2 linked regions of the Nothobranchius furzeri genome follow. The protein of the gene in region 1 interacts with the protein of each later gene in a pairwise test. Links are inferred from orthologs where the notes say so. Each region holds a gene or a part of one and is shown on either strand. Other genes may lie near its edges. The genes, in order: lhx9 and khk.

Evidence for each region.
Region 2: the proteins of lhx9 (region 1) and khk interact in binary tests that used the Homo sapiens proteins (3 or more experiments, as listed by UniProt). The two-hybrid records come from large-scale screens. The link is inferred for Nothobranchius furzeri from reciprocal best matches to the Homo sapiens genes LHX9 and KHK.

What each region holds. Positions count from the first base shown.
Region 1 is NC_091748.1:66,527,266-66,531,864, forward strand, and holds the start of lhx9 (LIM/homeobox protein Lhx9), read left to right. Parts: upstream 1-1,606; 5' UTR 1,607-1,710; intron 1,711-3,000; exon of another isoform or gene 3,001-4,599. UniProt on the Homo sapiens protein: Involved in gonadal development.
Region 2 is NC_091743.1:76,895,633-76,900,039, reverse strand, and holds the start of khk (ketohexokinase), read right to left. Parts: upstream 3,093-4,407; 5' UTR 2,966-3,092; coding exon 2,871-2,965; intron 1,872-2,870; coding exon 1,755-1,871; intron 663-1,754; coding exon 528-662; intron 375-527; coding exon 240-374; intron 1-239. UniProt on the Homo sapiens protein: Catalyzes the phosphorylation of the ketose sugar fructose to fructose-1-phosphate.

The sequences.
Region 1 (4,599 bases):
CCTCCCACCCTCATTGCAATACATGTGACTATAAGGCTTTACAGTGCTTCACTCCTCCCTCCTTCTCCCCCCCCCCCTTTCATTCTGTCAGTGTTTAGCCTGTGGTTCCCTGCACCGCGGCGGATCCTGGGAGAGCCCTCCTCCTTCCTCTCTCCAGCTCCTCGCCTCCACGTCCACTCCTGTTCTGGCCACGCTCTGGGAGTGACTGAGAGTTCCCTCTGTGTCATTTGAGGTGACCCAGAAATGAGAACTCCAGATGAAGCCTGGATGTGGGGCAATCCAGCCCGAGGAGCCATGCAGGCATCCAGGAGGACAGGAGGGCAGGCGGGCAGTCGTCCTGGCTGGCGCCATGCTGGAGCTCACAAACACAGCATTCCTTTCCGGGTATCAGGCGTGGAGAACGCCTGGTGTTGTGGTTCACTGTGAAACGGATCTCAGCGTTGCTGCATTATTGATGAGATACACTGTGATGTCAACCCAGGCTGAAGGAGCAAAGCAAAATGACTGTTAGCACTATGGCACATGATCATTTATGAAGGCAGCACAGAGGAGTCGTTAATTGTCACCCTTTTGCTCCCAGCTCAAGAGCTCACAAACACCGTTTTCTCTTCTCTTGTTGTCAGCTGAAATCTGCTCATCTACAGGCTCTTTCATTTGTTTATTAATGTTGCAGCCTGCACTTTATTCTGTTTCATTCATTCTTCTGTTTTAGCCTTCGTGAAGCTCTAATAAAATAAATACAGAAACAGGTTTTCATTTAATTAGGCTCCTTTTGAAAACAAAGATTTGTCATATTTAATAAACCTTGAATGAAAAAGATTTTTGTTTTTTTTATTCCTTTTTCTACAAAACTAAATTAGTATTTGAAGCATCAGTTCTGAATGGCATCCAAATGAAGCACATTAGAAAAAGACTATTTATTTTTACATTTTTTTATTCTGATTCGTTTCTTCGTATGTGGATTTTTTTTTTTTACATCAGAACAATTTTCGGAGATCAACCACTGTTTTCTTTTTTGCACCACGTGCTCCATGTGCGAAAAATCCATGAATTAAAGCGCACTTACAGGAGACCCTCTCAGTTTGGTGCTTGTCTATGTTTTCAGGGTGTGTGGCTGTGTTTGATTGATCTAGTTTGACTGTTCACCTATAAAAAATTTTAAAAAACTGAGTTCAATGACATTTTTACCTCAGTCTTCCTCGTTTCTCTTGAAAATGAAATCGGTGATTTTGTGTCTTTAATTAAATAAAATACGATTTTGCCCGTTTTTTGGTGCTTAAGTACAAAAATGATCATATTTATGCATTAGTCCTGCAGTTAAATAAGAAGAGTGCATCTTTATAATCCCTAAAAGTATCTTGATTATATTTAAGAGTAAACAACAGCGTGAAGACATATCCTCCTTTTTGATTTATTTTTATTTTTCTGAGCACATCCCAGCTCCTAACCCTTCCGAGTAGGCCATTGGCTCGTGACTTCCCCGTTTTCCTGTTTGCTGTGCTGTGTTGAGGGCTGCCTGCATGAGGGAGAGGAATATTTAAATGTCTTGTGTTTTAATTGACGCTCGAACGGGAGCTGTGCGCTCAGACACGAGGAACAGCCCCCCCCCCCCCCCCCCATCTACCGGCAGCAGCCTCTCCTCTGTGCGTGCAGTCCGCAGCTCCTCCGCCTGCGCGCCGCACAGGGATCTCACGCGCTGCTCAGCCTCAGGTAAGACCTTTCCTATCACTATTCAGACTCGGGGCAAAAATAACACACGGCAGGATTTGGGGTTTTGGCGCAGTTGAAAAAAAAAAAAGAAAAAACGAGAAGAGGAGCGCGGGAGGAGAAGCTGGCGACACTTTTGATGTCCGGTCAAACAGGAGTGATGGAAGTTGAGGCCGTCTGAAGATGCGCAATCGATGGATTAAAATTAATATTGGATGGAAATTTTTAAAACAAATGAGTCGGACCTTTAAAAATGTTTCATGTATTTTACCCTGTGTTTTGCTGGCGTTTTAACTTATGCGTCTGCTTCACGTGAGAATAAAAATGATGCTTTTGTGGCAACATTATTCAGCTGCATCACTTATGTACCTAAATAATTGATTTTTCGTTAATTCAATCGTTTAACGCAGTTTTATTTGCATTTTCTAACTTAGCTTCTCGTTTTAACCACATGATTTACTTCGACATCTACTAAAAATATTCTATTTACATGAATCATGAATTTTAGACAATTTAATTAGCTAAATCAAAAACAATTTTTATTTTGCACCAGAAATAAAAACATTTTCCTGTTTAAAAATATCGATTTGATATTATTTAACTTTCCTTCAAACTAAACGTTCCACATTTTATTGTTTTTGATCATAAATGCGCTGGTTTTTGTTGTCCCTAGAATAAAAGTCCACCAACGCAGTAAAAGTAGTGATTCAACACCAGTTTTAAAGGAGGTCACGAGCACACGGCAGTGGCAGGTATAATATGTTAATTACATAAAGAAAGAAACAAAACTAAATGAAGAGCGCGTGATAGTTCCCTTGGTGCCAAAATGCCTCCTCAGTCAAACGCAGCGTTGGAGGCGAACGGTCACAAACGCGTTTTTATTAAGCAGGACAATAAATGGAAATAAAAACAAACACTGAAAAAGACGCAGGTGCCTCAAAATAATCCGTGAGGATGTTCCGCTCGATCTTCTTGTGGTGTCTTTGTCCAGGCAAAACGTTTTGTCCTTTTTTTGAGTCCACTTTCGCCGCTTTGTGGCTGCTGCTGAGACACCGACAGGGAGCAAATTACCGGCGTGCTTTATTTTTTATTTATTTATTTATTTATTTGGGGGGGAGAACAGCTGCAGCTCCCTCCGTCCAGGAGGGTTCAAGCTCCGACTTATAGCGCTGCTGTCAAGGGGCCTCCAATTAAAGCCAACACAACTTCCCAGTGTGTGTGTGTGTGTGTGTGTGTGTGTGTGTGTGTGTGTGTGTGTGTGTGTGTGTGTGTGTGTGTGTGTGTGTGTGTGTGTGTGTGTGTGTGTGTGTGTGTGTGTGTGTGTGTGGAGGGGGGAGGGGTTGAGGTGGTGGCCCACATGATAATGCTCTTCAGATGAAGCCTCCACACCTGGATCCCCCGAAGCTTCTTGCTAAAATCAAACCAAATGAATTTTGACCATAAACATGATTAATTCTTCTATCTTCGCTGCTGAAGCTCGTGTTGCGTTTGGAGCTGCCTCGTTTTTGCCAGTTTTCTCCACATCTGGCCTCTAATAGTGGTCGGTCTGAAACCACTTCCTTTTATTGTCATTGTCATAGTTTTATTTGGCGTTTTTACGTTTTTAACACGTGACACTTAACTTCACTGCAGCTTCTTCTGCATGTCCTGTACACTCTGTAGCGTTTAGTGAGATAAGGTCAGACGTTTCTAATAATAATGATTCCTCTGGGGCAGACTAGCTGGGAGATCCTATTTGAAAAATGCCGTTTTTACTTGAAAATTTCTGTTCTAGAAACAGGAAATCAACATGTCGTTTGTCAGATTGAGATTCTTGTAGGTAAGCACTGACTCCTTCATTAGCTGAAAGAAGAAACTAATTCCTGTTCAAACATTTCTACAAATAAACATTATAGGGTTTTTTTTAGATTCAAATAGGTTTATTCGGTCAATTATTTTACACATATTATTTTCCTGTAATTTTGTTTTAAAAAGAAGAAATAAACACGTGACATTAATTTTAAAATGAAATTCTAGTTTGTTTGTGTTTAAAAATAAATCCTTGTTTAATGTAAACGGTCCCCTCCTCCTAGCCTGTCACTGATCACTGCCACGCCCCCAACACACACTTTGATTCAGACCAACTTAAACTGAGAATTCAGAATTTTTCTAAATAAAAGCCACAGCTGCAGATGATTTTCAGATCGTTTAATCACGCCCCACGACAAAAACAACTAACTATTACATCAGAAGTAAAAGATTATTATTTGAGTGTATGCAAATTTGCAGCTTCTTTAAAGATGGAGAACAAAAGCAACGTGTTTCATACAGAAGTGGTCCTTCTCATGCCGGCATCGAGTTTATTTCATAAATTATTGTATTTTTATTTAAGAGTGACAGCTCTTTGTTGGTGAATAGTAAATCAGCGGTGATGGTGGGAGAGGGAGGTAGAGAGACAGCCAGTCAGTGAGAGGTGAGAGAGGGGGGAGTGAGGGAGAGGAACTCCTCCTACCAAATTGTTCAGACTGGGCCGGCTCTGCTCTCTTCACAAATAGGACACGGTTCTGAAATCCAGGCAGTCCCAACCTGACCTCCAAGCACCGAGGAACCCCCCTCTCCCTGTCTGGGAAACAAGGGAGAGAGAGAGAGAAGAGAGAGTGAGTAAGAGAGAAAGAGAGAGAGAACAACAACAAAAAAAGAAGAAACACAAAAACTTTGTGTCATTATTTTTGGAGAGCGCTCGCACTGACGCACCCTCCCCTCACCCCTCTCCATCCTACAGTCACACCGTTTTTGTCGCATCATTTGGACTATTTACTTTTGATTTTTGATTTTTTTTTTCTTCTTTTCTTTTTGCCCTCCCTGGAGGAGAGACAATCCCGGGCAGCAGGAAGGAGTTGGTGCAGCACCACC
Region 2 (4,407 bases), on another chromosome or scaffold:
GGAAGTGGGTCAATAATCGAGATCAGGATCCTGTCCTGATACTCGGGATCAGCTCAGAACATTCCTGATTGACTAAAACAGCATCCTGATCCTGATTTCAGGGCTCTATGGTAAAATGAGAAAAGCATCCGATCTGCTGACCAACAGCAGGGCGGAGTCACCAGGAGGCTCTGCTCTAACACGTCTGACTGATGAAGAGGCATTTAATGAACGCGGCGCCGCGACAGCCATCATCTTACGTGTCGTAGAGATAGACGGTTCGAGATCCGCTGAGTGGACAAACCACACAACACGCACATGGCGTTTGACCTTTGACCTGCCAAACCACTGCTGAGACGTCAATTTCACGGCGTAAGAAGTCTGCCACAATGAAACTGACAGAGACAAACAGGAAATGTTAATGTCCCTTTCAAAATAAAACCTCAGCCAAAAGGAAACAGAGAGGGGTGGAGCTTCTCTAGGATGCTGACGACACTATAAAAAACAGAGGCAGTTAGTCTCTCTTACACACACACACACACACACACCTGTTCATGTGCAGGATGGTTCTACTTCCTGTTCTGATGTTGCTGATGACCATGGAGGCTGGAGACATGCACTGAGCGTGCTCAGACATCAGCGACACGTCGATGGAGAACTTCTGAAAATCCTCCAAAATAAAACTAAAGACAGGAAACTGTTTACATTCCTTCTGAATTCCAAAGTAAAAGTCCAGACAAGTAGCAGTTAGCACCTCCTCTGTCCTCACCTGAGCAGTAAATAGTTCCTCCTGACTGAGGACATCCCAGATGCTGCTCAGGGGACAGAGGAGACACCTTTCCATCCAAACCAGAGGAGCTCAGATTCTGTAAGAGCAGCTCTGCCTCTGTTCTTGCATTAGGATGGATCACAGCATCTGTTTACACCTGGATTACGCCTGATTCAACTTCTTCTGGTCTTTATGTGTATGAGCCACATCCTGGAGAAGATTTACCAGACACGCTTAGCTGGACAGCTGTGCTTCATCAGCTCAGGGCTGGTTTTAGCTGCTGCAGCTGACTCTGCTCTTAGATCTGGGAGATGTAAGATCTGATGTGTATTTCAGTCGGGATTGAGCCACAAAATGTGATCATTAAAATTATTGTTTCACATTCCCGGAGCGAGCTCTTATTCTGTCAAGCTCTCTGAACGCTGCGTGCAGGTGTGCAGTGGAAACCTGCCAACGTGAACACAGCTCAGAATAAACCATCTGGTGCTCTGGGCATAAGCTGTTGCAGAGACTGGCTCGGTCCACAATCGATCAGCCAGAGTTTAAGAATCTACCGAGTCGATTCTTAGAGGAATGAGACTCGGTGGATCTGAAACATGTTTCTGACTGATGATGCAGTTCTGAGTCGACCTGCTGATCAGTTGATAGGTTTAGAAATCCTCTGTGGTGTATTTGGGAATGCTTTGGGATCCACCAGGATAAACTGGAGAGAGGGAAGTCCGAGTGTTCATCCACAACCTGGTACTGGCTCAACCAAGCTCTGGATCAAACACATGGATGGCAGCTAACAGCTGATGACATCACAGGTGCAAACAGACTCAGATAAACACAACAAAAGAAATGTGGTTGTTGCCATGGATACGATCAAGAGATGCTTAAATCAGAACACAGAAGCAGCTCTAACATTAAACACCCCAAACCATACGTGATAAGTTTCAAGTTTAACAGAAGAAGCATCAATCAGAACAACAGCTACCCAACCACAGATGAACAGATCGGAACTCACTCAGCCACAGGACCAGAAGCCAGAGAACCCATGAAGGCACACGGAGCTCCGAGCAGCGACAGCACCGTGCATGAGTTGGATGCATTTCCTCCTCGCTGCCATCGCTGAGACAAACACCTGCAGACACACACAGATGACATCACACAGCCGTCCACTGATGCCTGCAGGACCCAACAGCATCAGAGGTGAGAAATAAGAGATGGATCAGAGCAGAACCGGATGTTTAATGTTCTAATCAGTAATCTGAGTATTGGGTCAGACACAGTACTTTAGATGAACATCTGACCACAAAAAACTTCCTAAAGTCAACAGACCCAGACGTTCCAGTCTGAAGTCCAGTTCCTGTGGTGTGTTTACAGTCTGATCATCCCAAAGACCTGACTCTAGACTACCAAAATAAAAGCTGAACTTTCTACTCAGTCTTTTTATAAATCAAGTTTTAACAGGGCAGCTGTGGCTGAATGGAGAACGTGATCCTCCACTGATCAGAAGGTGAGTGGTTTGATCCCCGGCAGGCCACATCTCCAGGTGGCTTGGGCAAAAGGTTTGATTTGCAATTATTTAGTTTAGGTCCTGCAGTGTGTAACTCATCCATCCATTCAGATGTGAGGTTCTGTTGTTGCAACATGTTTATGAGCAGTTATTGATTTGCAGAGACAACCTTTGCCCCCACTCACCCCTTCACATTTACACTGAACTAGTTATTTGTTCATCAGTTATTTATAAGTGATTTAGCAGCTCAGCTACCAAATCTTCATTGTGATTTTTTTTAGCTCCACAGATTTGCTTGACAGATGTTAGATGCTTTGTAAATGAAATGTATTGTTATTATTATTATTATTGTTGTTGCTGTGTTCTCACTGTCATAAAACAGAGTGAAATAATAAATTCACATTTATTACTACAGCCCCACCACAGACACCCTTACAGTCTAATCCTTATTTATTTATTTTTTTTAGTTTGGGAAGCTGGATGAAATCATCAGGTGTTCGCCTAGCCTCCTGTCAGTGAAGTGACAGTGTTAGCATTAGCCTGTATGCTAAACCTGTTGTGGAGGTTAGCATTAGCCTGTACGCTAAACCTGTTGTGGTTGTTAGCATTAGCCTGTACGCTAACCTGCTGTCGGTGTCCTCCTCCGGATATTTATCAACCACATTAATGATGTCGAGACACACCAATCCCACACACAGAATCTTCTGCTGCTCCTCCATGTTGACCCAAACCCAGACAGGATCCTCAGCGCGTCGCGAACCAACAATTTGGACTTTGAAACAAACGTTCCCTCATGTAAAACTAGCACAACAATAAGATACGGAACCTAGTGTGAGTGGAGACTAAAAAAATAAAAGCTCGCGGTTACTGTCTGATAAAAACAAACTAAAACAACGTTCATTATTATGTTTTATATTATCATTTATTTTACATTATTCATGCAAATAAAAAATCAATTCATATTATGTACAGTATTGTTCAAGGATTCAAATTCAAAGCTTTATTTATAAAGCGCTTTCCGCGACCCTGTCAGGGAGCCCAAGGCGCTTCACAGTTCATAAGAAATGTAAATCACAATGAATAAGTAGATAATAAAAGCAATTAAAATAGTGCAAAGAGGGTAAAACATTGAAGTAGAAACAAATGGACAAAACAAGGGTTAAAGTGACCAATAAAAACAGGAAATAAAAAATAAGAGGTTCTACACGTTCAGGGAACGCCAAGTGGAAGAAGTGGGTTTTCAGGCGACTCGAAAACCGGCAAAGATGGGGACAGCCCAACAGGATGAATAGACTGTTAAAAGTTATATATATTACAGTCTGGTGTTCAGGCTGACATAAGGAGTTAATGGTGACCATGTGTAGCATTTATCCACTGTGAACCACATTTCCCATAATCCAGAATCAATGTCTCCCATTTTTTCCACACATTTTACAGTGTAAGGTGTCCAACATCGGCGTCCCAACTGAGGTTCCCTGAGTTAAAACCTTGAGAATCCAGAACAGAGGATCACCACTTATTAGACCTTTCTGGATAATCAGGAGCTTCTGTTCACCTCTGCTCAGATCTTCAGACACGATGAGTCTTTGATGAGCTGTGTTTCGGTCCACAACGATGGGACTGTAGGATACTACATTCTTCATGTTGTTCCAGATGTTGAAGGCCAGGGTGCCCAGATGTTTGACCTGGTCCATCAGAGCTCCTGAGGGCAGCTGTGGACAAACCAGCAGGGGGCAGCGCTGGACTCTTTCCACTGCAGCCTTGTAGTTGATCAGGAACAAGACGTCTTCAGCTCTCAGCTCCTCCTCTGAGGTTCTGATGGTGTCTGAAAGAGCTGCCATCTCTCTGCTCAGAGCTTCCATCTTCTCCTTTATCATCCCACTCTTCTGCTCCTCTTCCTCCCACAGTGCAGCCAGCCTGGCCTCCTCTTCATCTGCTGGTGAAGCTTCTTAAAGTGCTCCTTGATCTGCTTCTGTGTGAGTCGGGCCTGGACCTTCAGGTGTTCTGGTGTCTGATCAAGCTGAACTTCAACTTTCTTCTGGAGCTCCAGTTTCTCCTTTAAGGGCTTCAGAGATGTTTGGAGGTTCTCTCTGTGATCCTGAGCAGCTTCATCGATGTGTCTGAATCTGTGGCCGGAGTGTTAGTCTCTGCAGATGACACA